Linked DNA regions of Notamacropus eugenii. The main gene of each other region encodes a partner of the protein of the gene in region 4 in a complex. Links are inferred from orthologs where the notes say so. Each region holds a gene or a part of one and is shown on either strand. Other genes may lie near its edges.

Region 1 (7,276 bases), on a different chromosome or scaffold from region 4:
ACCTCTTACTCCCCCTCAAACTTCTGACCTATCATACTGTTCTTTCCCTGGCATGACCTTCCTCCTACCACATTTCCCTGTCACATGCCCCCTACCTTAAATTGTTTTCCTGTATACCCTGTTCCTTTCTCCCACCTTTCCAAAATGTCCTAAAGAAAGAAAAGATCAAAGAAAAGAAATCCTAAGTAGAAAACTAAGGTATAGTCCCAAGTAAGAGGAAAAAGTGAGAAGACTGGGGTAGAAGGGAACTAAATAAGCAGAACTATAGATAATATATACTAGAATAGCAGCCTGGGAAAAGCTGGAAAGAGGTAAAGGATAGTATGTATGAAAGAGATTCCAAAGAGGAAGGACTTTGTCCAAGAAGTCTACTTGCTCTGAAAAAAGAGGCAAGACAAGGGCCTGGGTTTTTTCTAGCCCCCATAGGCCTTAAGGAAAAGGATAAAAAAGTAAAAGCCCCCATAGACCTTAAAGAAAAGGACAAAAAAAAAAAGTAAAAAAAGTAAAAGAGGATGATAAAACCAGAGCAAAGAAAAAAGAAGGGTCAAGCAAGGGGAGAAGCAGGCCAAGTGAAAACAGGAGAAAAAGAACAGGAAAACTTTAAGTGAGAGGTTTTTCCAGTAGTCCAGAATCCCACCCTATCATCTTCTCATGTTCTCCTAACTCCTCAAAATCCCAAATCGTTGTTTTCCCCTTTTACTCTCATTTCCACTTCTCTCCCAATGTCCTGGAGTTCTGTTCTCTAAATGTTCAACCTATTCACTCACCCACACTTCCATACCATTTCACCCAAACTCCCTTCCGTTCCCCTAGAGAGGGAAAACCAAGTGACTTCGTTTGAAAAAATAGTGGAAGAGAATCAATGGGAAAGAGAAAATTGTAAAAGGAAGCCCTTGAGGAGGGAAGCATCCAAAATAGTGCTCAAAAAAGGGTGGGAGGGTGTTAAGAAAAGACTACAGGGTTAGGGGCAGTAGGAGTGTGGGGGGAGAAGAGACATACAGAGAACATTATTATGAATCTAAAGGCTTTAGGAACTGTAGAGGACCTTTATGAAAAAAGGTAGGAAGGAGTCACTGTAGGGAATCTCTCAAGGGAGCCACAGAAAAAAAAAAATTAGAAGCCAGTAATAAAAGGTAACAATAAAGGACTAAGAGAAAGAGATCTATAAGTAAAGGACTAACATGTAGAGGATCTGGGGAAAAATATGAATTAGCTTTAGAGTTACAAAAAACCTATTAAAGTTGGGAAAAATATCTTTTTTTCTAACTGATCAAAACAGAAATATGGAGCTATAAAATGGCACCAGATTATAATGGAGAGTAATAACTCAGGAAAATAATTGTGCATGTAATGAAAGGGAATCTACAACGAATCATGTTAGAAAATCCACCAGTAGTAAAACAAGGTAACAATCAAGAACTAAGAGCAAAGGATCTACAAGTAAAGACTAACAGGAGAAAAAGAAGAGGCTACCAAAATACATGAAGAGGATCTGGGATAACTCAGGAAATTAACTGTGCATGTAATGAAAGCAATCAACAACGAATCACGTTAGAGATGAACCTCAGAGTTCATCTAATTCACCAGCTCATTTTAGAGGGGGGGAAAATTGAGACGGAAAGAGAAGTGACTCCCCCAAGGTCACACAGCCAATCACAAGAACCCAGGTTTCCCGACTCCCCACTCAGTGGTCTCTCTCTTGTCATGGCTATTCTCAGGGAGATATTGATTGTGAGTGCCTTGAGGGCAGGGACTCTCTTACCTCCTTTTCTACCCTCATAGTTTAGCACACTGCCTGGCACACAGTAACTGATTTATAACAAAAAAGAAAAAAAAAAAGACAAAAATGTTGTAATGTTACTTCACACTAACTATACTGAATACATGTTTTTGACTGCCTCCTTTTTGGCATTTACAGCGTTTAAGGCAGATTTTCCAGTTCAAATGTTTAAAAAAGCTTTGGAGTACCCTGTACAAAAAGCTACTAACACACGGTTTTGGCCATTATATGGGGAAAGTGAAGAAATCCTCTAAGATGGCAGATGAAGAGATAAAATATATTTGGAAAATAATAGGCAATAGAATCAGATAAGACCAGGGACCAATTACAAACATAAGGGGTTGAAAAGGGGGCAGAAAACAGCAGACAGAGAGGAAGTGGATAGAAAAAACGAGTTAAGAGGCACTCTGGGAAAGGGAAGACGACATGCGAGTAGGTGGAGTGGGAGGGGGTCAAGGGCCTAAGGGGAGGCCGAAGGGGTTACGATCCCTAGTGGGTGAAGGAGCCGAGTATAGTAAAAATGAGCGGGGAGGGGAGAGTCGGAGTTGGCCTACTACAGAGTACCCTGCTCCCCCACCGGAAGATGCAGGGGAACAGGAATTTTTTTCTTTTGGAAGGGAAGGGTTTGGCCACAGGTCGAGGTACAGGCATACAGTTCTCCACAACTGGCACGTGGAACGGGAAGGGGGGGGTTAGTTACAGAAGCGCGCACCCTTCCCTCGAGTCTCAGTCACCCCCCCCATGTCCCCTCCCCCGCGCGCGCGAGACCGCGTTCGGTTGGCGACGCGCGCCGCAGCCGAGGGGGAGGGGGTGGGGGGGAAGAGGAGTACGCGCGCCGGGGTCGGCTACGAGAAAAGGGGGAAGTGAAAAGGAGATAGAAGGGTATAGAGAAAGAGTAAGGAAGGAATAAGCGCGAGCGCGAGACAGCGAGCGCGCGTGCGCGCGTGCGGCCTGGTCGGTTCTCCGCGCGCCTGGCCTCGCGCCGGGGCCACCGCGCGGCCGCCCCTCCCCCCACCGCCCGGCTCTCTCTCACCCGCTCACCCGCCGCCGACGACTCCTCCTCCGCCTCCGCCCGCCGGGTCGGGAAGGAGGGGGGGGAATTCTTCCGCGACTGCTTTGCGGGGTCCTGGGTCCTCCGGGGCCTGGAGTCGCTGCCTCGCCTTGCCTCCTCTTCTGCCTTGCCACAGCCGCCACCGCCTCCTCGCTTCCTCGGGGGCCGCAGCGGGCTCCGACTGCGCCACTCGCACCCCGCCTGGGCCGCGCTGCACGTCAGCACGACTAACAGAGGACGTCAGCACGCACGCACGTCGCAGGGATCGCCGGGAAGCGTAGTGTCGGAGGCCCTCTTCTCACGCTCTTTACATTGGTTTTCCGCGCAGTCGCAAGCCTCCAGTCTTTTTTCTTTATTTACCCCACACACTCCCCACCCCTGCAAACTTTCATATCGCGATGCCTCGAGGGAAATGTAGTCCCGTGAGCATGTACGTCTGCTTAATACCACCAGGAACCCACTGCGACTCCCGTCGTGCACTACGGGTTGGGAGGTGCGGGCAGCGGAAATGTATTCTGGAGGCTGGCCACTGGGGGGAAAGGGAGTATTGTATTAACGCCACATCAATAGGATGCCCATAAGGCATTGAGAAGGCCTAAACCACAGTTCCTCCGTCCCCAGGGGAATTCTGGGAGTCGTAGTTTCAGAGGGGAGAGAAAACTTGTGTGTTAGCATCACCCCAGGAGCAGGGGGATGGGGGGATGGGCTTGCCATTTTGTCTGTCGCCATCTTGAGAGACGATGACCTGAGTCTCATCGACCCTTACCTATAATTCATTTGTTTATGGGAATGGTCTACAAACATATCCAGGATGTACTTGATGAAAATAATGTAGAATATGCACGCTTAAAACGTGATTTTCTACAACAATCCACGTTATTAGGGAAGTGTCCCATTGTCCCATAGAGCTTAGATAATCACAGCCCCCAGAAGCTCACCCCCAATAGTTATCTGTATGTCATTCGGGCAGCCTAGTGCAGTACGTAAAATTCTCACTTACTGGTTGTGTGACCTTGAGACAGTCACTTGTAGTCTGAACCTCATTTCCTAATATCTAAAAGGAGAGTGAAAATACCTTCAGGCTTTCACCAAAGTCCTATTTTTCACCATATCAAACATCCCCCTGGGTTCTCCAAGGCACAAAGAGCACAGTCAAACATGTCCCAATAAGCTATCAAAGCTTTGGGGTAAGGATAGGTGAGTGTTGTTTGCAGGCCAGCCTAGCTGCCTTCACCAATACCTATCACCTGCAAGTTGATGAACTTTTTGGCCACAATAACTCTGGAAATCCATCTCTTGAATTTATGAGAGATTATGATCTTCAATAGAATGACCATCCACAGGAAATTTAAAATCCTTGATATTCTTCCATCAACAAGCATTAAATACCTACTACATGTACCAAAGGGCGGTTGAGAGAAATCCTAGTGATATGGAAATGTGAGTTGTCATCATACAGAAGAAAAACATCATGGAAGTGCGACAGCTACAAAAGGGTCCATTTTTAAAGATACCTCAAAGAGACCAGGGATGGTATCATTACAGGAAAATACAATCAAGAAATATCAGCAGTTATTCAACAGATATTTATTAGGGGCCTACTATGTGCAAAGTACAACCCTAGGTGCTGAAAATACAAGGACAAAAAATTACTTTCCCATCCCTATAAAACATGAGATTGATCTATACATATTTAGAGAGTGTCCTTAAGTTTTTAAAAAATAGAAGGAAACAAAGAAGCTCTCTTGAACAATTTTATATCATAGATTTCATCTTCACAGTCACAAAATTGACTGAAAGGTGCTGAGAATTCAAGATCTCTCTCTGTCTACTGTTGATCCCAAAAAGCATAGATTTGATTTTCTTGTAAAGAGTGCCCCCTGCACATGTTAAGATCATATGATTCCTTGACAAATACCATCTCTAAGTATTAACATCAGGTCATAAAACAATGATATTTGTTCATCAAAATGTGTTTTCTACTTTTAGTAAAGAAATTCTGTACAGAGTCTAGAAGAGGTATTCTGTATAGAAGGTGAACTTCTCCAGATGCTCCTGTATAGAGATAAAATTATGCTGGAGTAGATGATGTTTGAGTTGACCTTTAAGTTAAAGAAGTGGAAAAAAAGTATTCCAAGTAGGGGAACAAAAGTGTTATAGAGAAGGGGAGAAAGAATATCCAGTTTGAAGTGAAGTAAGATTATAGAGAACTGATAGGATCTGAGTTGGAAGGGAACTTAGAAGCATTTTAATCTTATCCTCCTTTCCGATTTTGCAGATGAGGAAACTAAGACCTAAAGAGATAAAGTGACTTGTCTGAGGCCACAAAGCTATTAAATGGCAAAGCCATGTTTCAAACTCAGGTTTCCTAATTTCAAATCCAACAGCAAATCTATCCGCCATAGCCTCACATGCTATAAAACTGAAAAGGTGGTGTCACCAGATTGTAGAAGACCTTGAATGACAGGCAAATGAGTTTGAACCTTGATCATAATTAAGAGAAAGAAATTCATTTTCGTGGTGTTCTTATGTTTACAATTCACTTTCCTCATGAAAAATTCTGCGAGGTGGTTGATACATGTATGATTGGTGCCCATTTTATAGATAAGGAAACTGAGGCTCAGAGGCCTAAGTAAGTTAAAAAATTCACACAGCTGGTAAGTAGTAAGAGCTTAATATGAATCTAAGTCTTCTTACAGTCACTTTTCTGGATTATGGGATTCCAGGAATTGTGCCTTAAATTTATCTCTGTAGCCACCCTGTACTTATTACAGTACCCTCTGCATTATAGAGTTTAATAAATGTTTGTTGAACTGTAAGTTCAATTGGGATTGAGAAAGTCTTCAGGGATGTATTCTAATCATAAACTTAAAAATACCTTGCCAAAGTCCTGACCTTTGAACTAATTACATGATATCCTTTTCATACAAAGGATTTATCACAGAAGACTCAGTAGGCACCATCATAATAATATACACCTTAGTAATATCACATACTTAAGTTGTAATCTCCTCAAATACTTCAAGAGCTGTGATTTTATCAGTGTGGGCAGTCCCTTGACCAACCCTTTACTCTTTGAGTGGCTACTGGAGAGATGAGTTAGATTTTGCCAGTTGGAGAAGAGGATTCTGATCAATTCATCAACAAGTATTTATTGAGCCTTGGAATGCAACACCTCATGAGTACCCTCAGTCTGGAAGGCAGACCAAATAGGTTTTCCCAAAGCCTCCATTTAATGAGGCCTTCCAAGCCAGTCATCTCTTCATTTCTCACTAGCTGTACACTTCTGAACTGAACTCCATCATGTCCCCACACCTGGGCATCTTTCCCCCACACGTGCTTTCGCTCACTCCCTCCCTCTTTTCAGCTTCCTTTCGTGTGTTGTCATCCTTCATTAGACCATTAAGTTTCTTAAGAGTAAGAACTGTCTTTCCCTCTTTTTTGTTTTTGTATCCTCAGCACTTAGCACAATGCCTGATACCTAGTAGGAACCTAATAAAAATTTATTGACCGATTGACTGACAGCCCTAGCAAGTTCCAGATACCTCCTGGGTGCTGAGGATACAAAAGCAAAAGAGAATTGCTTCCTGCCCTCAGGATGTTTACATAGCAGGAAGAGAGAACTGCAAGGAAACAGAGAAAATGCAAGATATGTTCAGATAGTTGTGAGAAAGGCTCTTTGGGGGAAATACTGAGTCTTAGGAAGTAGTTGGAAATCAAGCTTTTAGGAGTATGTGCAGTACTTTATAGGAGCTTGAACTTTAGGTAACTGATACCTTATACCTCATCCTTAACACTGGTTTACCTCTGGGCTACCCCTCAAATCCCACACTTTCAGGTTAGGTGTCCAGGGAGATAACTACCCTAGAGGTTCAAGGTATTCTATGAGTCTGTACTCCTAAAACTACAGTTCACCATTCCCCCACCCACCCCCACTCCCACCCCCCCTTACCTTTAATGGTCAGCTCAAAGCAAAGGCATATCTTAAGATAGCATCAGAAGAACAATTGTAACAAAACATTCCCCCATAGACCTGGAGCTCAGTCTTCTACAACTACACATTGTCCATGGGAAGAGTGGGTACTTATATAGAATACCTTAGTAGAAAGGCAAACACCTAAGAAACACATGTGGCCCAGGTACCTCCAGCACTGCAGGATTCTCATGACTTTTTCCTTCTGGAGTCCTCATAGTGTTCCCCTGAGATGCAGAATCTCTCCTGCACTAGTCATTCATTCAGCTGAACTCCCTGGATCTGTTCCTCTCTGCAGTCCAGCCTTCCACAACTAAGGCTCATTGCTTTATCAATACACAACTCATACTCCTCAAAGTTATCTACTTTCATTACCGGCTGGGCCTACTTCTACTGGGTTCAGTGTTTCCTACACTGTAGTCCTGAAGGAGCCACCATAGCTGGAGGGGAAGGGGACAATGAGAGAAATCTC
Region 2 (7,409 bases), on a different chromosome or scaffold from region 4:
TCCATAATAGTCGTGTTATATAAGACTAACTATATTTCCCTCCATCCTATCCTGCTTCCAATTACTTCTATTCTCTCTTTTGATCCTGTCCCTCCCTGTGAGTGTCGACCTCAAATTGTACCCTCCTCCCCATGCCCTCCCTTCCATCGTCCCCCCCACCCTGTTTATCCCCTTGTCCCCCACCTTCCTGTATTGTAAGATAGGTTTTCATACCAAAATGAGTGTGCATTTTATTCCTTCCTTTAGTGGAATGTGATGAGAGTAAGCTTCATGTTTTTCTCTCACCTCCCCTCTTTTTCCCCAAACTAAAAAAAAATCTTTTGCTTGCCTCTTTTATGAGAGATAATTTGCCCCATTCCATTTCTCCCTTTCTCCTCCCATATATTTCTCTCTCACTGCTTAATTTCATTTTTTTTTAAGATATGATCCCATCCTATTCAATTCACTCTGTGTACTCTGTCTCTATGAGTGTGTGCGTCTGCATGTGTGTGTGTGTGTAATCCCACCAAGTACCCAGATACTGAATAGTTTCAAGAGTTACTAATATTGTCTTTCCATGTAGGGATGTAAACAGTTCAACTTTTATAAGTCCCTTATGACTTCTCTTTGCTGTTTACCTTTTCTTGCTTCTCTTCATTCTTGTGTTTGAAAGTCAAATTTTCTTTTCAGCTCTGGTCTTTTCATCAAGAATGCTTGAAAGTCCCCAATTTCGTTGAAAGACCAATTTTTCCCCTGAAGTATTATACTCAGTTTTGCTGGGTAGGTGATTCTTGGTTTTAGTCCTAATTCCTTTGACTTCTGGAATATCCTATTCCATGCCCTTCGATCCCTTAATGTAGAAGCTGCTAGATCTTGTGTTATCCTGATTGTATTTCCACAGTACTTGAATTGTTTCTTTCTAGCTGCTTGCAATATTTTCTCCTTGACCTGGGAATTCTGGAATTTGGCCACAATATTCCTAGGAGTTTCTCTTTTTGGATCTTTTTCAGGTGGTGATCAGTGGATTCTTTCAATATTGATTTTGCCTTCTGGTTCTAGAATATCAGGGCAGTTTTCCTTGATAATTTCATGAAAGATGATGTCTAGGCTTTTTTTTTGATCATGGCTTTCAGGTAGTCCCATAATTTTTAAATTGTCTCTCCTGGATCTATTTTCCAGGTCAGTTGTTTTTCCAATGAGATATTTCACATTATCTTCCATTTTTTCATTCTTTTGGTTTTGTTTTGTGATTTCTTGGTTTCTCATAAAGTCATTAGCCTCCATCTGTTCCACTCTAATTTTGAAATAACTATTTTCTTCAGTGAGCTTTTGAATCTCCTTTTCCATTTGGCTAATTCTGCTTTTGAAAGCATTCTTCTCCTCATTGGCTTCTTGAACCTCCTTTGCCAATTGAGTGAGCCTATTTTTCAGGGTGTTATTTTCTTCTGCATTTTTTTGGGTCTCCTTTAGCAGAGTGCTGATTTGTTGTTCATACTTTGCTTGCAAGTCTTTTATTACTCTTCCCAGTTTTTCCTCCACCTCTCTATCATGATTTTGAAAATTGTTTGGGCTCTTTAAGACCTTTTCCCAGAACTGATCCCATTGAGTGGACTGGGATGTAGAAGCACTGACTTCCGTGTCTTCCCCTGATGGTGAGCACCGCTCTTCCTCATCAGAAGGGAGGGGAGGAGAAACCTGCTCACCAAGAAAGTAACCCTCTATAGTCTTGGTTTTTTTCCCTTTTCTGGGCATTTTCCCAGCCAGTGACTTGAGCTCTGAATATTCTCCTCACACCCACCTCGCCTCCGGATCCTCCCAGCCCGCGCTTGGGGTCTGAGAATCAAATGCTGCTTCCCAGCCTTAGGGCTTTTGGCAGGGGCAGGGCTGCTATTCAGTGTGAGATTAAGTTCAGGTGCTCAGGTGGGGGCAGGGCCGCCTCATGGGCTCAGTTCCCTCAGGGGATTTATGCGGAGACCTTCAACAATGGATCCAGGCTCCTGCCTGCTTGGGGAGCCCGGGTCTGCTCCCGCCTCCGCTGTTGCCTTCCGAGGGGGCCTGAGTATGGGGGCACCCCACTCCCCTCTCAACCCACCAAAGAGACCTTCTCACCGACCCCCGTCACCTGTGGGTGGAGGGACCCGCGTGGCCGCTGGAGATCCCGTCCCTGAAGTCCGCTTGGATCTGTTCCTCTCGTTGCTGGGGCCCGTGCAGGGCTGGGCTGGGCTCCGCGTCCGCAGCGCGACGGACCTTTTGCAAGAGGTTTGCAGGTCCCTCTGGAACAGAAATCTTATCCGCTCCACTATTATGTGGCTTCTCCTGCTCCCGAATTTATTGGCGGCTCTTTACTACGGATATTTCATGGGCTGTGGGTTCGGAGCTAGCGTATTTGTGTGTTTCTACTCCGCCATCTTGGCTCCACCCCCACAAGAGTTTTTTAATAGGTAACAAACCTAGGTCATTTTCTGAGGAGAAAGAGTAAGTATCTCTTAAGGTGTGGTTCATTGTGTAAAATGCTGCAGACAGGTCAATAATAATGACTGGGGAAAGTTCATCAGTTTTGGTTGCTATTTGTCCTTTGTTCTGGAAGACAGGAAGTGATGCCATGACATGCAAGTTGTGTGGGATGGCTCAGGTCCCTACATAAATCAATTACTCAGAGGCCTCTCAAAGTGATGACAGAAAAGTGATTTATTCGTTTCTCAAGAAGAGGGGCTTACCTGTAGGAGTAGGAAAGCCGAAGACAAAGAAAAGGGCAGTGATTTATATAGACCCTAACGCAAGTCCCTCCTCCCCACCACTGACCGTTATCCTCATTAGCTGAGAATATGGTCTTACATTCTAGACACGAAATCTAACCAATCCCTTTTGAAATGAAGACATTGAGGAATTATGTAAGTTTTGTCCAATCATTGAGACCCTAATACACTACACAGTTTTATATCCTTATATGGAACTATTCTATTCTAAAAATATTGTAACCTTGAGCCTTTAGGCCTTACCTCACCCCTGGGAGAAAAATTACAATCTGAGGAGTCTTCAGTAAGTCTATCCCACTCAAAGTGAATTGGATTTAAGTGAGGCAGGGCTGTGCAAAGTCACCAGCCTCACTTTCTTCCCAGAGCCATCTCAGTCCAGTGGCAAGATGCTGTATTTGTCCTTCACTTTTGAAGACAACCATGTTGTGTTTGTCCTTCATTTCCGAATACCATGCCATCAGAGAAACGATGACATGATCTGCACTTGACTTTGTTTTGAGTGAGGGAAGGATGGGCAAGGTCATCAGCCTCACTTCCTCCTCCTGAGCCATCTGGGTCCAATAGCCAGATATTCATCAGGATGACTGGAGGTGGGCCAGGATGCAATGGGAGACCCTGGCCTTTTTTAGGCTAAGGCTTTTTTCAGCTACTTTTTTCAGAGTGAGGTAATGCCCATTCAATGAATAGACCTCTTTAAGAAGTCAATCAAAGGATGGTCCCCTTAATTAGAAAAAAAGATAAATTCAAGCTGAGAGGGGAAGACCCTCAGGGTTGCTGTTCCAAAGAGAGTTACCATTGATATTAAGCCAGGAAGGTCTTAAATGCAACCTTGAAGTGAAGCCTGGGCAGAGACCTATTGTGCTCCCCATTCATGAGCCTCAGAGTGAGCTGGGTTGAAGGTTTTGTGAAAGAGAGACAAGAAAGAAGGAAATCTAGCCAGTAAACTCCAAGTTAACTGGGCAAGACATACATCAGGATGACTGGAGATGGCCTTTGATGCAGTGGAAGGCTGGCCTTTTCAAGCTAAGGTCTTTCCCAGGTCTCAATTTGACTAAGGTGAGGCAGAGAATGTCCTCTTTCACCTAGTTAAAAAAAAAATCAATCTGGGAGGGGAAGACCCTCTAGCCAAAACAGAAACAACTGCTATTCACATTCATTCTGAGCCATTCGGGGCTTGGCCTGGGGCCTTCTGTTGGCCAATCAAGGAGAGCCAGAGTGGACTTGCATGCCTTGACATCCTTAGAAACTCTGAAAAGAACAGTTTAGGTTGAGAGAGTAGTCAGCGGTTACTGGAGAACCCCAGGGAGACTGGAAGGATAGTGGTACTCCAACAGAAGTGGGGGTGTTCAGGGGAGGTGTGGGTCTTTGGGGGGGGGATAGACAACAATGAGATCAAATTTCATATCTGCACCAGTCCATATTAACTACTTTTTCCAACAAAAACAAAAAAGGCAAAGAGGCATGTACAGGAATGAGATCTTACCCTTGATGGCCCCAGCTGGCAGAGCTCACCTGTTGAAAGGTTTTGGGTGTGAGGATGGGTGGGGGATGGGCGGCCAGGAATTGTGCCTTCCAACTGCAGAGCATCCATGACCTGCCCAAGTTTAGGTTATAATAGCGCTCCCCGCCTCCCTCCGCTCCACCGGCCCCGCCTCCCGCTGGGATCGGCCAAGGGCGGAGCCTGGCCACGCCCCTTCCGCCGCTGGGGGCGGGGTCAACACCGCCTTCCGCTCTGGAGGAACTGCCGTGCAGAGCGGGCGCGGTAGGTGCAGAGAGCTGGGGGCCGTGGTCGCGGGGTCCCTGCAAAGCAGCTTCTCTTGTCTCCAGGTCAATCTCGAAACGACAGAGCGCGGTGACTTCCGGTGTGTGAAGCCCCGCCCTCGTCCCCCATAGTGAGATTTAAGGAAGTCGAGGCAGGATGCCTGAAACTCGGGGGATTGTTTTGGTGGCGTTACCTTGGTCCGTACGGAGGCCGTGTGTGCTGGGGAGAAGGGCCTGCTGCGGAACCCTGGCTCTGGAAGCCTGGGCCACGTTCAGTCAGTCAACCAGCATTTATTATGCGCCTACTCTGCGACGCCTTGGGCATGGCGTATGGGGGAGGGGAATATACCTATACATGACGTAATACAGAGGGGGGAACGACCCTCTGGGAGCTCACTTACATTGGGGGGTGGGGCGGTGGCGGAGGACATGTTTACGTAAATGTATACAAAACAATTAGTGTTCACCTGGGCGAGGGGAGTCAAGGAAGCAAGTGCAAGAGGGAGATACGAGGAGTGCCCGAAGGCAGGCCGGTGCAGAGCGAAGGCAGGTTAGGCGTTTATTGAGCTCGTACTGTGTGCCAGACTCAGGGATAAGCGCAGAAGGTACAGTGTAACAGAGAACGTGCAAGTTGCAACTTTGTGCAAACGATGTTCTCTGGATGAAGTGGAGATGATCCCAGAAGGGAGCGCCCAGGAAAGGCTTCTTGAAAGTGGGGTTTTAGTGTAAGGAAGTCAGGAGACAGAGATGAAGAGGAAAAAAATTACAAGCGTTGGGAACTCATCAGGAAAATGCACTGATTGAGGAGATGGAAGGTCATGTGGCCAATATCATTGGATTACAGAGTATGTGAGGGGAGAAAGGCATAGGAAGATAAAGGTAGGAAAGGGCCAGGTTGTGAAGGGATTTAAAAGCCAACCAGAGGGTTTTATATTTGATCCTGGACATGCTTTCTTGTGTTTGTCCTTTGTTTTCGAAGAGGACTATGATAATCAGAAATGATGACATGAGTTGCATTTGATATGGTGCCACTTGACTCCTCATTGACATGGTCACACCTTCCCTTTAGGAAGATGACTGGCAGCTGAGTGCAAGATGGACTAGAGTGAGGAGAGATTTGAGATAGGGATACCAACAGGCTTTCTAAATAGCCCATAGTATGAAGGGATGAGGGCCTACACCAGAGCAGAGGAGAGAAAGGGATATGTAGGAGAGATGCTCTAACACTAGAATTGATTGGACTTAACAACTGGTTGAATATGATGGGTGATAGGAGTCAAAGATAACACCTAGGTTTCAATTCTGGATAACTGATAGGATGGTGCTGCCCCCAAACAAGAATAGGGAAATTAGGAGTTCTGTTTGGGATATGCTTTGAGATGTCTCCAGCACGTCTAGTTTGAAACATCCAGTAGGCAGTTGGAGATACAAGTCAAGAATTCAGGAATGAGAGTAGGACCAGATATATGGGTCTATAGATAAGGTTTATCTGCATGTAGATGATAATTAATCCTATAAGAACAGTTGAGGTCACCAAGTGAGATTGTAGAGAGAGAAAAGGGCTCAAGGACAAAGTTTTGAGGTATACCAGCTGGGGGAATGGGATGGATGATGACCCAGAAAAGGAGATTTTGAAAAGAGGTGGTCATATAAAGAGGGAAACTGAGGGCAGGTTCATGAAAACCCAGAGAGGAGAGTGTATCCAGGAGGAAAGAGTGGCCAACACAGTTTCAGTCCCTGCAGAGAAGTAAAGAAGGGTGAGAATTGGAAAAAAAAAAAAACTATTGGATTTGACAGTTAGGAGATCACTTGACAACTTTGGAGAGAGCCTTTGCAATTGAATGACAAGGTTAGAGGCCACATTGCCAAAAGCAGAGAATGTGGAGGCCATGAGTGTTTAAAAATCAGCCTACAATGATTAATAATTGTATGACGTTGGATAAGTCACTTACCTCCATAGACTTCATCTGTAAAATAAGAGGGGGGGGAGTGTGGGCGGGGGTTGAATGACATAATTCCTAAAGTCTCTTCCAGCTCTATCATTGATCCTCTTTGTTACCTGCAGTGGCATATTGGTGGGAGCACTGAGTTGGGGCATCAGGACCCTTTTGGCCCTGGACTTCAGCTCTTTCATATGAAGTATTTGTAAACGACTTAGCACAGCTAGCACACTTAATAAACACTTGTTTCCTTCTCTCTTCCACTCTTTTTCTCCTTCCCTCTCTCCTTTCCTTCCTCACTCCCTCCCTTCTGCCCTCCCGTTTTTCTTCCCTCTTTCCTCCCTTCTTCCCTCCTTTCCTTCCTCCCTTCTATCTTCTCTCTCTTTCTCCCTCCCTTCTCTTCCTTCCTGCCTTCCTTCCTCTCTCCCTTTTTCTTTCCTCTCTCCTTCCCTTCCTTCTCTCCCTTCATTCCTTCCATCCATCCTATCTCCCTCTCTCCCTCTTTTCCTCTCTCCTTCCCTTTCTTCCTCCTTTTCTTCCTTCCACCTCCCTCCCTCCCTTTTTTATGTCCTTTCTCCTTCTCTTCTTCCTTCCCTCCCTTCCAACATCTCTCCCTGCCTCTCTCCTTTTTATCCTGCCTTTTTCCTTCACTCCTTCCTCCCTCCCTTCCTTCTTTTCTCCCTTTCTTCCTCTCCCTTCCTCCTTTCCTTCATTTTAGGGGCATGTGTCACATAGATGACTTAAATGGATGATGTTTGCTTGTCCATCTCTGAGCATTTCTGTGAACGTGCCCTTCACTGATCCAAATTGCAATCCATCCTTACCTTATCCTGTGCAATTCTTTACCTTGGTCTCTCCTACATTCTCTAGAGGGATGGAGTACAATAATATTGGAGACCTTCTAGGTCTCTGACATTAAATGGTACCAGTGTAGCACTGAAACCATACAGTTATTATCTTCCAATCGCGTACA
Region 3 (7,045 bases), on a different chromosome or scaffold from region 4:
GCATCTGGTACTGATAAATTAGTACTATTCTCCTCCACGAAAAGCCCCCAGTGTCTCACTCTAATGCTACCTACCCCTTCCATTGTGTTGTCTGGAATGCCTGCTCCATAGGTAACAAACCTGCTTTCATCTTAAATCTTTGTCTTTCCCACTTCTTCCATGTTCTGGCTCTTATTGAGAACTGGATCCCTCTGACTACAGCCTACCTTTCCACTTTCACCCATTTCCTCCATTTCCCCCCCTCTTTCCCCCTCCCCACACTGAGATGGGGAAGTTGAATATTCCTTGCTTCAGAGTGCCAATTTCAAGTTTTCCTGCTACCATCACTATGCAGTAGTCTCTCTTCCTTTAACATTCACTGAATCCCTTTCCACCACCCAATAAAAATTCTAGTAGCTGTTATCCTTCTTTTTTTAACTTCAAAAAAATTTTTATTTTTATTTTTCAATATTTACTTCCATAAAATTCTGAGTTTTAAATTTTCTCCCCTTCCCTCCCTCCTCACTCTCCAAGATGGCATGCAATCTTTATATACATTCATATTAAACCTATTTTCATATTAGTGAAAATTTCACATTAGTCATATCGTAAAGAAGAATTAGAACCAATGGGAGAAACACAAGAAAGAAGCCAAACAAAACAACAACAAAAAAGAGCAGACAGTATGTTTCAATCTGCATTTGTACTCCATAGTTCTTTCTTTAGATATGAGCAGCATTTTCCATCATGAGTCTTATGAAGCTGTCTTAGATCCTTGCATTGGTGAGAAGAGCTAAGTCTGTGAAAGCCGCAATGTGGATTCTGAAGTCTGCCTGCTCATCTCTTCTTACAGCACAACAGTATTCCATTACATTCATATACCACAACTTGTTCAGCCATTCCCCAACTGATGGGCATTTCTCTCAGTTTCCAACTCTTTGCCACCATAAAAGGAGCTGCTATAAATATTTTTGTATATGAGGGTCCTTTTCTTATTTTCACGATATCTTTGGAATACAGACCTAGAAGTGGTATTGCTGAATAGCTGTTAACTTTCTGCCTCCAGTACACTCCCCCTCTTTCCTCAATGAGTTCACAATAAGATCACAATTGTTCTCTCCTCCCCAACTCTTTCCCTCATACTAGGACTTCAACATACACACTGATACTCTCTTAAACACCTTAAATTCACAGTTCCTCTATGCCCAAAGGGCTATAAAACTGTGAATACCCTTTGATAAAGCAATTACCACTATGAGATCTATATCCTAAAGAGATCATAAAAAAGGGAAAAGGACTTACATTTACAAAAATATTTATTGCAGCTCTTTTTGTGGTTACAAAGAATTAGAAATTGAGGAGATGTCCATCAATTGGCTGACTATGAATGTAATGGATTGTGCTATAAGAAATGATGAGAAAACAGATTTCACAAAAACCTGGAAAGACTTACATAAACTGATGCTAAGTCAAGTGAGCAGAGCCAGGAGAACATTGCATACAGTAACAGCAACATTGTGTGATGATCAACTATGACTAGCTTAGCTCTTCTCATCAATACAATGATCCAAGACAATTCCAAAAGATTGATGAAGGAAAATGTTATCTATATCCAGAGAAAGAACTATGGAGTCTGAATGCAGATTGAAGCATTTACTATTTTCACTTATTTTTGTTTTTCTTTCTTGCGGTTTTCCCCTTTTGTATGGATTCTTCTTTTACAACATGTCTAATATGGAAATATGTTTAGCATGATTGTACAATGTATAACCCATACCAGATTGTTTACTGTCATGGGGAGAGAGGGGAAAAATCTGGAACTTAAAATCTTATTAAAAAAATGAATGTTGCAAACTATCTTTAAATGGAATTGGAAAAAAATAAAATATTACCTCTCTTACGCACAGATCTGAAAAATAAACCCAACTCATTTAATTTACTCATTTTATATGACCTATTCCACCACCCCACCTCAGCCATACACAAAGAAGCCATAACCTTGCCCTTGCCTTCACCGACAATGTATTACCTCCATGGTAACGACCTCTTGAAATTTCCTTATCTGATCACAATCTACTGTCATTCTCCCTCTCTCTCTATCCTGTTCTTCATCCAAATTGTGACCTCCAATTCCTTAAGCCTTCAGTTCTTTCCCTGGCCACCACTCCTGCACTAGCTGCATTCTCCTTTCTTTCTCATCGTGACCTCTTGGTGAACCAGTTCAACTCTACACTGTCCACTTCAACTGAGTCCCTGGCTCTGATCACGCTGCTGATCATGGCCTGTTAGCTTTGGCCTTGGATCATTCCCATTATCTGCTGCCTTAGTTTCTGCTCAGACGCTGATGAACAAAGCAAATTTGGATTCCATGGAAGGAAAAAATAAAATCCCAAAATTGGAGATAGCCAAAAATGTAATGGGTTGTCTTGGGCTCTGTCCTGGACCCTCTTCTCTTATTCCCCTATCCTATTTTTCACCTGGTGATCTTACTCAATCTCCCGGATACAATTACCGTCATTTCTATGCTAATGATTCTCAGATCTACTTTCCCAGCACTAACTTCTCTCCTGACCTCCAAATGCTTTAGACTTTAGAATCTCCAACTGCTTATTAGACATCTCAAAGCGGATGTCTTATAGATATCTTAAACTGAACATGTCCAAAACTGAATTCATCTTTCCCTCTTTCTAATTTTCCTATTACTATTAAAAAATAATTAATTACATTAATTCCTATTACTATTAATGGCACTTCTCAGTTCCCCAGGCTCACAAACCTAGATGTAGTCCTAAGCTCCTCACTTCCACTCTCCCCCAATACCCAATCTGTTGCCAAGTACAATTGATTTCATCTTTGTAACATTGCTCAAACATATTTTCTTCTTTTCTCTGACACTGCCACCACCCTGACGCAGGTTCTCATACCTGGAGTACTATAATAGCCCACTGGTTTCTTCACACTCCAGTTCATTCTCCATTCAGCTGAAAAATTATCTGTCTAAAAGGCAGGTCTGACCATTTCATCTACCATTCAATAAACCCCAGTAGTTTCTATGACCTCCAGGGTCAAATATAAAATACTTTAGTATTCAAAGCTCTTCACAAAATGGCCCCTTCCTACCTTTTCAGTCTTCTGACTTATTCACCCTCTACTCTGTGATTCAGTGACACTGGCCTCCAGGCACTTCCTCATACAAGACACTCCGTCTCCAGACTGTGCATTTTCAGTGGCTATCCTCCAAGCTCTCCCTCCTCATTTCTGACTTCTGGCTTCTTTCCAAGTCCTGGCTAAAAATCCACCTAAAATTCCAGCCTTTCCTGATCCCTTGAAGGCTGATGAATGCTAGCTGCCTGTTGATTATCTCTTTATCCTGTATATAACTTGTTTATATACAGTTTTACCTGTTGAGCTACTTGAGAGAAAGGATAGTCTTTTGCCCTTCTTTGTATTCCCAACGTTTTAGCAGATTGCCTGACACATAGAAGATGTTTTACAAGTACTTATGGAGAGACTGATTACCTTCCTACAATGGGTATAACGTGGAGGATAAAAAATGAAACCAAGTCCCTCTTCTTAAGGGGTTTGTAATCTCCTTAAAGAAACGATACACACACACATATTAATTACAAAGAGTGATTAAAATCAAATGAGTGTTAGAATCATACTGTTCTTTTGGATATTAGAGATATGTAAAGACCATGGTGGGCCTACATACCTGGGTGGAATTAAACTAGACCTTGAAAGATAGGCAGGATTTGACAGAGAGAATTGGGTGGGTGAAACTTAGTTATGACAAAGGCATATTTTTGGGCTCAGGAACGTTCAAATCTGGACTACAGAGACTGCAAGCTATGATGGAAATAGCACTCACTGAACATGAATGTGGATAGAGGATAGAGGATCCAGTTGATTTTATGCAGTTGGAGAAGGGGAAACCCTTCCCCCCCCTCCGTGAATTTCAAGTCAGAAAACCTTTCTTTAAATCCCTGTTCTATCACTTATCACTTTTCGGGTCTTGCACCAATTAACGATGTGGGCCTCAGTTTTCTTCTCTGCAATATTGGGGATATGACCAAATGTAGGGTCCTACTGATTAACGTGTACATATACATACACACATACACACACGCAGGGCTCACACGGTCCTGCTGCCGTGGGCCCTGGGGAGCAGGCTCGTGACCAAAGATAAGGGCAGCAGGGGGGATTTAGGGAGCAGGGTAGAGACGCGACGCCTGTTGAGACGCGACAATCGGCTCGGGCCTCAAGCGGGGGAACAGGGTGGAAACGGAGGGGAATGGGCGAGAAGCACCGGGAGAGGCTTTGGCGATGTCGGAAAGGAGAGGCAGAGGACTAGCTGAAGGGAGGGCGGTCAGGGCAGGGACCAGACCCCCTGAGGCTGAGAAGCACAGGGAGCCTCGGGAGTTTGGGCCAGGGGTCGCGCATTCATCTTTGTCCCCTCTTTCTCCTCTGCCCCCATCCCCATCCCCCGGAGCGATAGGTACCCTCACTCACATTTCTCGCAAACCATCCTGTTAGAGGGATCAAGTCGGTTTAACTACCTTCCCAAAGGCGCGGGATTCTTCTAAATGTAAACAATCCTCCGGCCGGGAACCTCCTTCCGGGTCATAAGGGATTTCTTTCCGCCTTACTAATTCACCTCCCCCACACCTGGAGCGCTGGTGGAGGAAAGAGGGCGGGGCTTGTCTCCTCTTTCCGGCCTTTCTCCCTCTCCGATTGGCTGCTGGAGCTTCCCAGCCATTGAGTGAGGAAGAACTCACGTGCGCACGTGTGTGTGCGCCTGCGCGTAATGCGAGACAACCAGTCGCACCTGAGAGCCGAGAGGGCGGGAGCTTTACCTCCCACCCACTTCTGCTCAGGCCCGAGGCTCAGGTAAGATCGAACGGAGAAGCCTGGGGGTCACCACGCCCCTCTCCGCTTGGGCCTTGCTCCGGCAGGTCCTGCTTCCCCGCCCCCCCACGTCCCTCCTCGGAGCCCCGGGCTCTGCGGTGGAGTGGCCCCGCTTCCTGCCCTTCTCTCCTCCGGTGTGCCTCTCACTGCTTCCGCTGCCCTCCCACCTCTGGGACGCCGAAGGGGCCCCGAGCCAGAATTCACCTTGGAGGTCACTCCTCCAGCCCTCTTTTACTAGAGGCCCTGGACAGGTAAAGCGACGTGCCCGCCTACCCGGTCCGCGAGGGGCGCGTTTCCTTCGGCAGAATGTTCTCTTTCCGAGGGGAATGAGATTTGTGAGAAACTTTTCCTGGTTTCTCCTGGCTCCTGTGGGATCGTAAGAGATCGTCTCTAGACCAGCCCCTCTGGTCGGTAGACGAGAAGAGCGAGGACCGAAGATGGGAAGTTTTAAGTCTAAGGTCCCTGAGCCGGCCGTCGAAAAGCCCTCTGGCTGCGTGTAGTCAGTCCTCTTCCTGTGACGCTTGGCTCCTCCGTCTGCGCCGTCCCCTTTCAGGTGCTTGGCTTTACCTGGAGCCACGGTAATAGATCGGAGACAGCTAGGTAGCACAGTGTATGGAATGCTATACCTGGAGTCTGAAAGACGTGGATTCACGTTTGGGCTCAACGTTTGTTAGCTGTGTGCACGTCACTAAACCTGGGCCTGTTTTCTCCTCTCTAAAACGGAGATAACTATTTCCCTTCTAGAGTTATTGTGGAGAAGAATAGATAAAATTTGTAAAGCGCTCTGCAAACTATTAATGTTAGCTATTATTATTTTTTAATAATAATAGAGGCTTTTTTTAGCCTCAAACTAAGTATGATTGGCATCTAGGGACAATCTATCTCTCAGTCTTTCTGGCTCTGTGCATGGGCACATAGCTAGAATTCTCTCCCCCCTAAGAGCCTCCTTGGATTCTCTGGCTTCCTTTGAGGCTCGACTAAAGTTCTACTTTCTGCAAGAAGCCTTTGCCTTTCTCTCTTCATGCTGTTGCTTTTTCTTTGAGATTATCTTCAGTTTATCCCGTATAGGTATTTTTTGTGCATAGTTAGGTGTTTGTTGTCTCTCCCTTGGGATTCTTGAAGGCAGAGACAGTTTTTGTCTTTCTTGGTATTCCTAGTGCTTAGCAAAGTGCTTGCCATGTAGGTACTTAATTAATGCTTGTTCGAAGTTGGTGTTCCTTGGTTCAGAATAGTATGATTAATCATTCTAGGTGATACCAGGCTAGTGCTTTGCTATGAAAGTCCGTATAATGTCACTTAGTATTTGACAGGAGGTGTAAATAAGATAGTGTAGTATTGGAGTGTTAGTCGAGGTAAGACATGGTAAAAAAGAAATGGCAGAAATTATATTTTTAAGGGGTTCCACAATGCATAGCTTTGATTCTAGCAGGGGCCAGTGCTACAGGTGGATGAATTTCTTTTTTTTTTAACCTCTTTTTAAAAAAATTTATTTACTAGTTTAAAACATTCAATTCCACAAGCTTTTGAGTTCCCAATTTTCTCCCTCTTTTTCCTCTCCCCTCTCCCTACGATGGCGTGCAGTCTGATATAGGCTGTATATATACATTACATTAAAACATTTTCACACTAGTTATGTTGCAAAGAGGAATTATAAGCCACGAAATGAACCACAAGAAAGAAGCAAAACAAAAAAGAGCAAATACTGTTTCGATCTGCATTCAGTCTCCATACTTCTTTTTATGTGGGTAGCATTTTCCATCTTGAACCTTTTGGAGTTGTCTTAGAACCTTGCATTGCTGAGAAGAGCCAAGTCTTTCAAAGTTAGTCATTGATCAGTGTAGCTGTAACTGTATACAATGTTCTCCTGGTTCTGCTCCCCTCACTCAGAATCAGTTCCTATAAGTCTTTCCAGGTTTTTCTGAAGTCCACCTGTTCATTATTTCTGATAGCACAATAGTATTCCATTACATCTATATACCACAACTTGTTCAGTCATTCCTCAATTGATGGGCATCCTCTCAATTTCCAGTTCATAGCCACCACAAAAAGAGCTGCTGTAAATATTTTTGTACATGTAGGTTCCTTTCCTATTTGTATGATCTCTTTGGGATACAGACCTAGAAGTGGTATTGCTGGGTCAAAGAGTGCACACATTTTT
Region 4 (6,938 bases):
ACCTCATCTAGAAACTGAAGAGGTGGCCTGGGCCATATCTCAGGTTCTTCCTAGCTCTAAATCATATGCCCGTAAGTTAAAAGGGTCGTACAAACATTAAGCACCCAGCACAATTCTGTCTCCTTTTGTCCATAGACAACAAGGTAGTACTGAGGGTTGAGGCCTGGTTCCTTCATACTCACAATTCCACACTCTGGACCTCAGCTTGTCCCTTTAAAAATTACAGGACTGGACCAGAAAGCGTCTAAGGTCCTTTTAATCGCTAAAATTTATGATTATAAGATCTTTTTCAGTCAGTCAATAAACACTTATTAAGTGCCTACTAGGTGCTGGGCACTGTGATAATTGAAGGGGATTCAAAGATAAAAGATAGTCCCTGCTTTCAAGGAAATCCCACTTTAATGAGGGAGACCACAAGCAAAAAGTTATCTACAAACAAGCTTTGTACAGGATAAGTAGGACATAATCAACAGAAGGAAAGCCCTAGAATTGAGGGAGGTTGGGAAAGGCTTTCTGTAGAAGTTGGGATTCTAGCTGAGACTTAAAGCCATAAGGTAGAGCTCAGGAGGGGGAGCATTCCAGGCATGGGGAGAACAAGCAGTGAAAATGCCCAAGGTCAGGAAATGTTCTTGTTTGAGGAAGAGTCAGGAGGCCAGTGTCACTGGAGGGTTGTACAAAACATAAGAAAACTAGAAAGGGAATGGGGCGGAGAGGCATGCAGTGCTAGGTTATGAAGGCTTTGAATTTGAAACAGGATTTTATTCAATCCTCAGGATAATAGGGAGCCATTGTAGTTTACTAAATGGAGATGTTATGGTGAGGCCTGCACTTCAGGAAGACCACTTTAGCTGCAATGGACTGGAGTGGGGAGAGACAGGAAGACCGATCTGGAGATTATTGCAATAGTCCAGTCTTGAGATGATGGAGACCTGTACCAGTGTATTAGCAATATCAGAGGAGAGAAATGGGTACATGTGAGAGATATTACAAGAGACCTGACAGTTGGAGCTCAGCAGAGATAAGGGCAGAATAGGTAGATCTGAAAACTGCCAGCAAAGAAATGATAAATAAATCCACAGAAGCTAATGAGATCACTAAGTGAACTGTGTAAAGGGGGAAAGTGAAGAAGGTCAAAGACAAAAATCCTATGGGACACTCCCAGATAGTGAGCATGACCTGGAAGAGAATGCAGGAAAGGAGACTGAGATAGAGCAGTCAGAAGGGAGGAGGAGAACTGGGAGAGAAGGTAGAAAAGAAGTAGGAGAGAGTGCTGTTCCAAAAACCAAGAGAGAAGAGAGTACAAAAGAGAAGAGCGTGATTGACAGTATCAAGGGTTGAAGAGAGGGCAGGAAGGATGAGGACTGAGAAAAGGCAATCACTGAATTTGGTAACTGAAAGATCATTAGTAATTGGAGAGAGAGGTTTCGGTTGAGTGATGAGTTCTGAAAACAGACTAGAGAGTTAAAGTGAGAGGAAAGAAGTAGAAGCACCTATTGTAGACAGCCTTTTCAAAACAGGAGAAAAGACAGAGAAGAACAGCTAGAAAGGATCAAGTGAGGGTTTTTTGAGGATGGGAGAGCATGTTTGCAGTCAGCAAGAAAGCAGACAATAAAGAGAAAGAGGTTGAAGATCGTGAGAGGTAAGGATGGAAGGAGCAACCACCTGGAGGAGACAGGACAGAATGGGATCACAGGTGCAGGAGGAGGCAAGGAAAAGGGCCACTTCACTACGTGAGCCAGGGATGAAGGAAGAGATAGATATGAGTGACAGGAAACGAGGAGGGGAAAAGAGAGAGCTCAGAGAGAATACTCTTAGCTTTTTCCGCAAAATAAGAAGCCATTTAGCCGAGAGAACTGGGGAAGGGATACCAAGAGAAATTTAAGAAAGGATGAAAAGATTTTGAAGAGCCCCCAGGGAAAGTGGGATGGTGAGTCATTTAGGGAGGTATAAAAGGATCGTCTCCTAGCACTGCAGGCCAACTGAGGTCACGTAGCATATATCGCAGCGGACCCAAGAAGCACGATTTGGGGATTTTTTTTCCAGTTTTCCTTAGTAGCAAGAGAGAAGAAGCCAGTGGAGGCTTTCAAATAGCGAAGGGGCTATCACACAGAAACGATTTTTAATGCTTGTTCCTCCCCACCCCCAAGCAGAATCAATTGGAAAGATATTACAAATTTCATCTCAATACAACGACAACACAAATCCTAACTTTGATAACTGTCCCAGCTTTGAGAGCTGAGGGTTTGAGATGGGCAGCCTCGGAAAGATGTCCCCCGAAGGGGGTGCGGGACCGTCACCCTAGGTCTAGGACCTCTTTGGGACCCGCGTTCACGATCTGTAAAGGGAGGGTCGGGCTCAGAAAAAGTCTGAGTCCAGAACCTCCCCCAGCCTCAGTTTCCCTCCCTCTCTTTAAGGTGAGGAGGCTGGGCTCTCTGAAGGTCTCTCCGAGGTCCCTGACAGTCCGAGAAGGATGAGGAGGGGGACGGAGAGGGGGAAGGAAAGGGAAGAGGAAGAGGGGAGCGGAGGAGCAGGAAGACGAGGGGGCGAAGGGGAGACGGGAGCTGACAGGACTCGTTAGCTCGCTAGGTCACATACCGCTTGTAGCAGGGCCCCCGGCGGAGGCTGCTGCCCCGCAGCAGGCCCGGCCCCGGTCCCCGGCCCCGCCGCTCCCAACAGTAGTTCATGACGGGGCCGCTTGAGGGGAACGAGCGGCAGCTCCGGACCCTTCCGCTTGTGCTGCTCGATCATGGCCGCCTCAAGCCGTCCGCGCTGCTCAGTCCACAGGCCGCGCCGGGGTTTACGGCCCGGCTCCCATTGGCTAAGATTGTCCCCGCCCACCCAGGAACTTCCGTCCTAGGCCGGACCAATCAATTTCCTGTGTGTGTTCTAGAGCAAGGGTAGAGTAATTCATTCCTTCTCATCCCTTCTTATTGGATAGAGGGCGAGGCCTTCAAGAAAAATATAGGACTGTGATTGGCTGCTATGTGTGAGGGAGGGACACGAACAAACTTCCTGTGCAGACTCTTTTGTTAACTTTCCTTGCTTCTTCTTATTGGGTCAGAAGACGGGCTGTCACCGCGAGAATCAGTCTCCGATTGGTCATTGCGTTCGGTGGGAAGGTTTCCTGAACGCGCGGTGGCTGATGGGCGGTGGCTAACGGATTGGCTGTGGGGAACGGAGGCCTACGATTGGCTGCGCTCCGAGCGCTTCATGGCGGCATCCTCTTAGATCCTGTACCTTGGAGGCTGCTGAGTGAGTGAGTGTGGTGGGCCGTCTTGGGGGCCTCTCCGGGCCTGTGGGCTGGCGGGCGGGCGGGGATCTCGAGCCCAGGACTCTGTGTTTGCCCTCTCTGATTAGACTGGCTTGCCATCTTCCCCGCCGTAGGAGACTTGTGATGCTCTCTGTTGAGGACCACAGTCAGGCAACAAGCATTTATTAAGCGCCTGCTGTGTGCCGGGCTCTGAGAATTCCAGTCCCTGTCAGTGAGGAGCTTCCATTCTCCTGCTTTGGAGAAGAGGATACCTGCGAGGTTCAGTGGACAGAACCCCGGGCTCCCTCTCCTATATTACAGTTGCTCTGTCCCAAGACCCCCCCCCCCCCCAGTCCATCCTCCACCCAGCTGCAAAAGTGACATTTCCAGAGCACAGGTTGGACCCCGAGTACGCCTGTCACACTCTAAAATAATCGTCCAGCCCTATTGCCTCTCGAATGGAAGGATTCCGGACCTTGTTTGTGTGCTGGACCACTTTGACAGTCAGTCTGGGGACTCCGCTGAATCGTCTTCTTAAATGCACAAAAGAAAATACGCAAACTTATAAAGGAAGAAAGGGAGGAAAGAAGGAAGTATTTATTGAGCGCCAGGCACTGTGCCATGCCCGTTACAAGTGTTATTTCATTGGGTCTTCACAGCTGTGCAGGGGAATTTGACAGTTGAGGAAACTGAGGTAGACAGAGGTCAAGTCGAGAGTCACACAACTAGTGAGTAGATTGAACTCGTTGTCTTCTCCCTAAAGCTCCCTCCCTTCACACACCATCCCTCTTTTACTGTAGAGGAAGACAGCACCGTCCTAACAATCATCCTGAACTGCTCACTAACTCTTACCCCTCCCATCTTTGCAGCATATGTGGGATATGCCCCTTCTGGCCCCTATCACTGCCATATCCCTGGACTATTGCAATAGGGGCTGGAAGGTCTGCCTGCTTCACCTCTCAACCCACCCCAATTCATCCCTCTATTCCATGAACTTGTTTTTTGTTTTTAATAGTCTGGCAACTTTTATTTCAATACATTTGGTTTTTTGGGGGGCAGACAGTCATTCATTTGATAAGCATTTATTAAGTATCTACTATATACCAGGCACTGGGCTAATCATTGTGAATTCAGAAAAAGGCAAAAGAAAATCGCTGCCCTCATGAGCTCACAATCTAATGAGGGAGACAACCTTCAAGTAAATATATACAAATAACCTAATATGCAAAATAAATAAAAAATAATCAAGAGATGGAAAGGCATTAGGGATTGGGGAAGACTTCCTGTACACAGCTGGATTTTACCCGGGACTTGAAGGAAGAAGGGGAAGCCAGAAGAGAGATGAGGAGAGAGAAAGCATTCCAGACATGGTAGGCAGCTAGAGAAATCAGTCAATCGGTAAACATTTATTAAGCACCTACTATGTTCCAGGTACTATGCTAAGCACTAGAGATACAAGAAGATGCAAAAGACAGTCCCTGCCCTTAAGAAATCCAAATTGCTGCAAAACAATCCAAATGAGGAGACAGCATGCAAACAACTATATACAATTATGCTCCCTTTCCCCTCATTCTGGAAATTTATGTTCTAACTCAGGGGTGGGGAACCTGTGGGCCTCGAGACCACATCGACTTCTAGGTCCTCTGGTGCCACCTTTTGGCTGAGTCCAGGTTTTACTGAACAAATCCTTTTATTAATGAGATTAGTTCTGTCAAGTTTGGCAGTCAAAGGGCCGCACTTGAGGACCTAGAGGGCCACATGCAGCCTCAAGTTTCTTCTTGCAGTTTCTTCCCCTCTCCCCCTGCAACCAAACTGGACTCCTGGAAGTTTCCCAATGTGCCCTTCCATCCCTGCCCTCTGCCCCCTTTGTACAAACTATCCTGCTCCCCTAGAATGAATACCCTTCCTCTCTATCTTTGCCTCTCAGTAACCTTAGATTCCTTCAAGGTCCAGCTCAGGAATCACCTCCTCCATGAGATCTTCCCCAATCTTCCCAGTTCCCAATTACTCTATATTTATTGATCTATGTACATCTTGTACCCTGCTCCCCCTATAGTAAAATAAGAGAACTCTGACAATTGAGACAAGGCTTTTGCAGCTGCCCTGTGATTCTATTGGTGTGGGTGTCTCTCCATATGGAAACTCCACTGATAGTAGGCAGAGACTGTCTTTTGCGTTTTCTGGTATCCCTAATGCTTAGCATACTACCTGGCACATAGTAGGCACTTAATAAATATTTACTCATTAATTGATTGATTTTTCTGGCCATCTACCATATCTGGATTGCTTTCTCTCCTCACCTTTGCCCCCTGGCATCCCCATCTTCCTTCAAGTCCTGGGTAAAATCCAACTGTGAACAGGGAGCCTTCGCCAATCCCTAGTGCCTTCCGTCTCTTGCCTGTTTACCATGTGTATAGGTTATATGTATGCATTTATGCTAGTATAGATTTAGGCCTTACCTTAAAATGGCTTTAAGTCCAAGACTTTCTTTTTACAGATGAGGAAAATTGAGTCTCAGAGAAGTCAAGTGATTTGTCCAATGTCACGTAGTCATTTTGTAGCTGGAATTTGAATCCAGTGCTTTTGACTCCTGAGGCTATTTTTTTTCCCCAGTGTGCCATGTCACATAGCTAATAAATGTTCAAGGTGGAATTTGAACTTGGGTGATTCCCCACTTCTGGTTTAGCTCATTAAAGCTGCCTCTCATAGGAAGGTACTTTTATCAAAGCAGAAAATCATGTTTCTGTGACACTTTAGTCACAACAACTCTGTAAGATCACTATTTTGGGTACTCACTTTACAGGTGAGGAAGGTGAGGCAGACAGAGGTGAATGGCATCCCCAGGGTCAGACAGCTAGTAAGGACACACACTGACTACTCTGCCTCTCAAGCTGTAAAGAGCTGCATAAATTGTAGAGTTGTACAAGAGTAATTGTTATTGCACTCCGTCTTCTTCTGGTGTTTCCTTGTAATTCTGAGGTTCTAACACCAGCAACATGGCCAAAGTTCTGACCCAGGGTATAGCAAGCTGGGGAGGCTTCAGATTTTCACTGTGGGTGTACTGTGTACTTTAGCAGCTCATTAAGAGGAGGCTGGCCTCTAGGTGATGATCTTTTTAAGGTAGAGCAATTCATCAAAGGTAGCTAATTCACATAGGAGTTGTAAAAACCACCACTCCTTAAAGTGTTGAAGCCTTACTCTCATGAGTTTGTTCTGTGCTCAGCCTTGTATGAGCTGGGGGTGGGGAGGAGAACATTGATATTATGCTGGAAAGTTTCCAAAGAACTTTTTCTGTCCATTTTATCATTGGGTCCTCACATTTACTATGTGGGACAAATGTGTGTTCGTCCTTCACTGTCGAAGAAGACCATACCATCAGAGAAATAATGACATGACTTGCACTTGACTTTGTTTTGAGGGAGGGAGGGCTGTGCAGGTCACCAGCCTTACTTCTCCTCCTGAGCCATCTGAATTCAGTGACCAGATATTCATCAGAATGACTGGAGATGACCCAGGATGAGGCAGTTGGGGTTAGGTGACTTGCCCAATGTCACACAGCTTCTAAGTGTCAAGTGTGTGAGGTGAGATTTGAACTCATGTCCTCCTGACTCCTGCACTGGTGCTCTATCCACTGCAACCACCTAACTGCCCTATGTGGGACAAATACTACCAGTTTTGATGTCCCTTT

Evidence for each region.
Region 1: SNRNP40 (region 4) and SRRM2 share a complex: the UniProt entries of both Homo sapiens proteins name them as parts of the minor spliceosome. The link is inferred for Notamacropus eugenii from reciprocal best matches to the Homo sapiens genes SNRNP40 and SRRM2.
Region 2: SNRNP40 (region 4) and ARMC7 share a complex: the UniProt entries of both Homo sapiens proteins name them as parts of the minor spliceosome. The link is inferred for Notamacropus eugenii from reciprocal best matches to the Homo sapiens genes SNRNP40 and ARMC7.
Region 3: SNRNP40 (region 4) and CRIPT share a complex: the UniProt entries of both Homo sapiens proteins name them as parts of the minor spliceosome. The link is inferred for Notamacropus eugenii from reciprocal best matches to the Homo sapiens genes SNRNP40 and CRIPT.

Annotation. Positions count from the first base shown.
Region 1 is NC_092872.1:56,350,072-56,357,347, forward strand, and holds the start of SRRM2 (serine/arginine repetitive matrix protein 2), read right to left. Parts: upstream 3,015-7,276; 5' UTR 2,822-3,014; exon of another isoform or gene 2,814-2,821; intron 1-2,813. UniProt on the Homo sapiens protein: Required for pre-mRNA splicing as component of the spliceosome. As a component of the minor spliceosome, involved in the splicing of U12-type introns in pre-mRNAs.
Region 2 is NC_092873.1:341,058,970-341,066,378, forward strand, and holds the start of ARMC7 (armadillo repeat-containing protein 7), read left to right. Parts: upstream 1-4,409; 5' UTR 4,410-4,497; exon of another isoform or gene 4,498-4,597; intron 4,598-4,599; exon of another isoform or gene 4,600-4,771; intron 4,772-4,955; exon of another isoform or gene 4,956-5,046; intron 5,047-7,409. UniProt on the Homo sapiens protein: As a component of the minor spliceosome, involved in the splicing of U12-type introns in pre-mRNAs.
Region 3 is NC_092872.1:662,290,724-662,297,768, forward strand, and holds the start of CRIPT (cysteine-rich PDZ-binding protein), read right to left. Parts: upstream 3,003-7,045; 5' UTR 2,950-3,002; coding exon 2,904-2,949; intron 1-2,903. UniProt on the Homo sapiens protein: As a component of the minor spliceosome, involved in the splicing of U12-type introns in pre-mRNAs. Involved in the cytoskeletal anchoring of DLG4 in excitatory synapses.
Region 4 is NC_092876.1:72,718,414-72,725,351, forward strand, and holds the start of SNRNP40 (U5 small nuclear ribonucleoprotein 40 kDa protein), read right to left. Parts: upstream 3,024-6,938; 5' UTR 2,749-3,023; coding exon 2,596-2,748; intron 1-2,595. UniProt on the Homo sapiens protein: Required for pre-mRNA splicing as component of the activated spliceosome. Component of the U5 small nuclear ribonucleoprotein (snRNP) complex and the U4/U6-U5 tri-snRNP complex, building blocks of the spliceosome.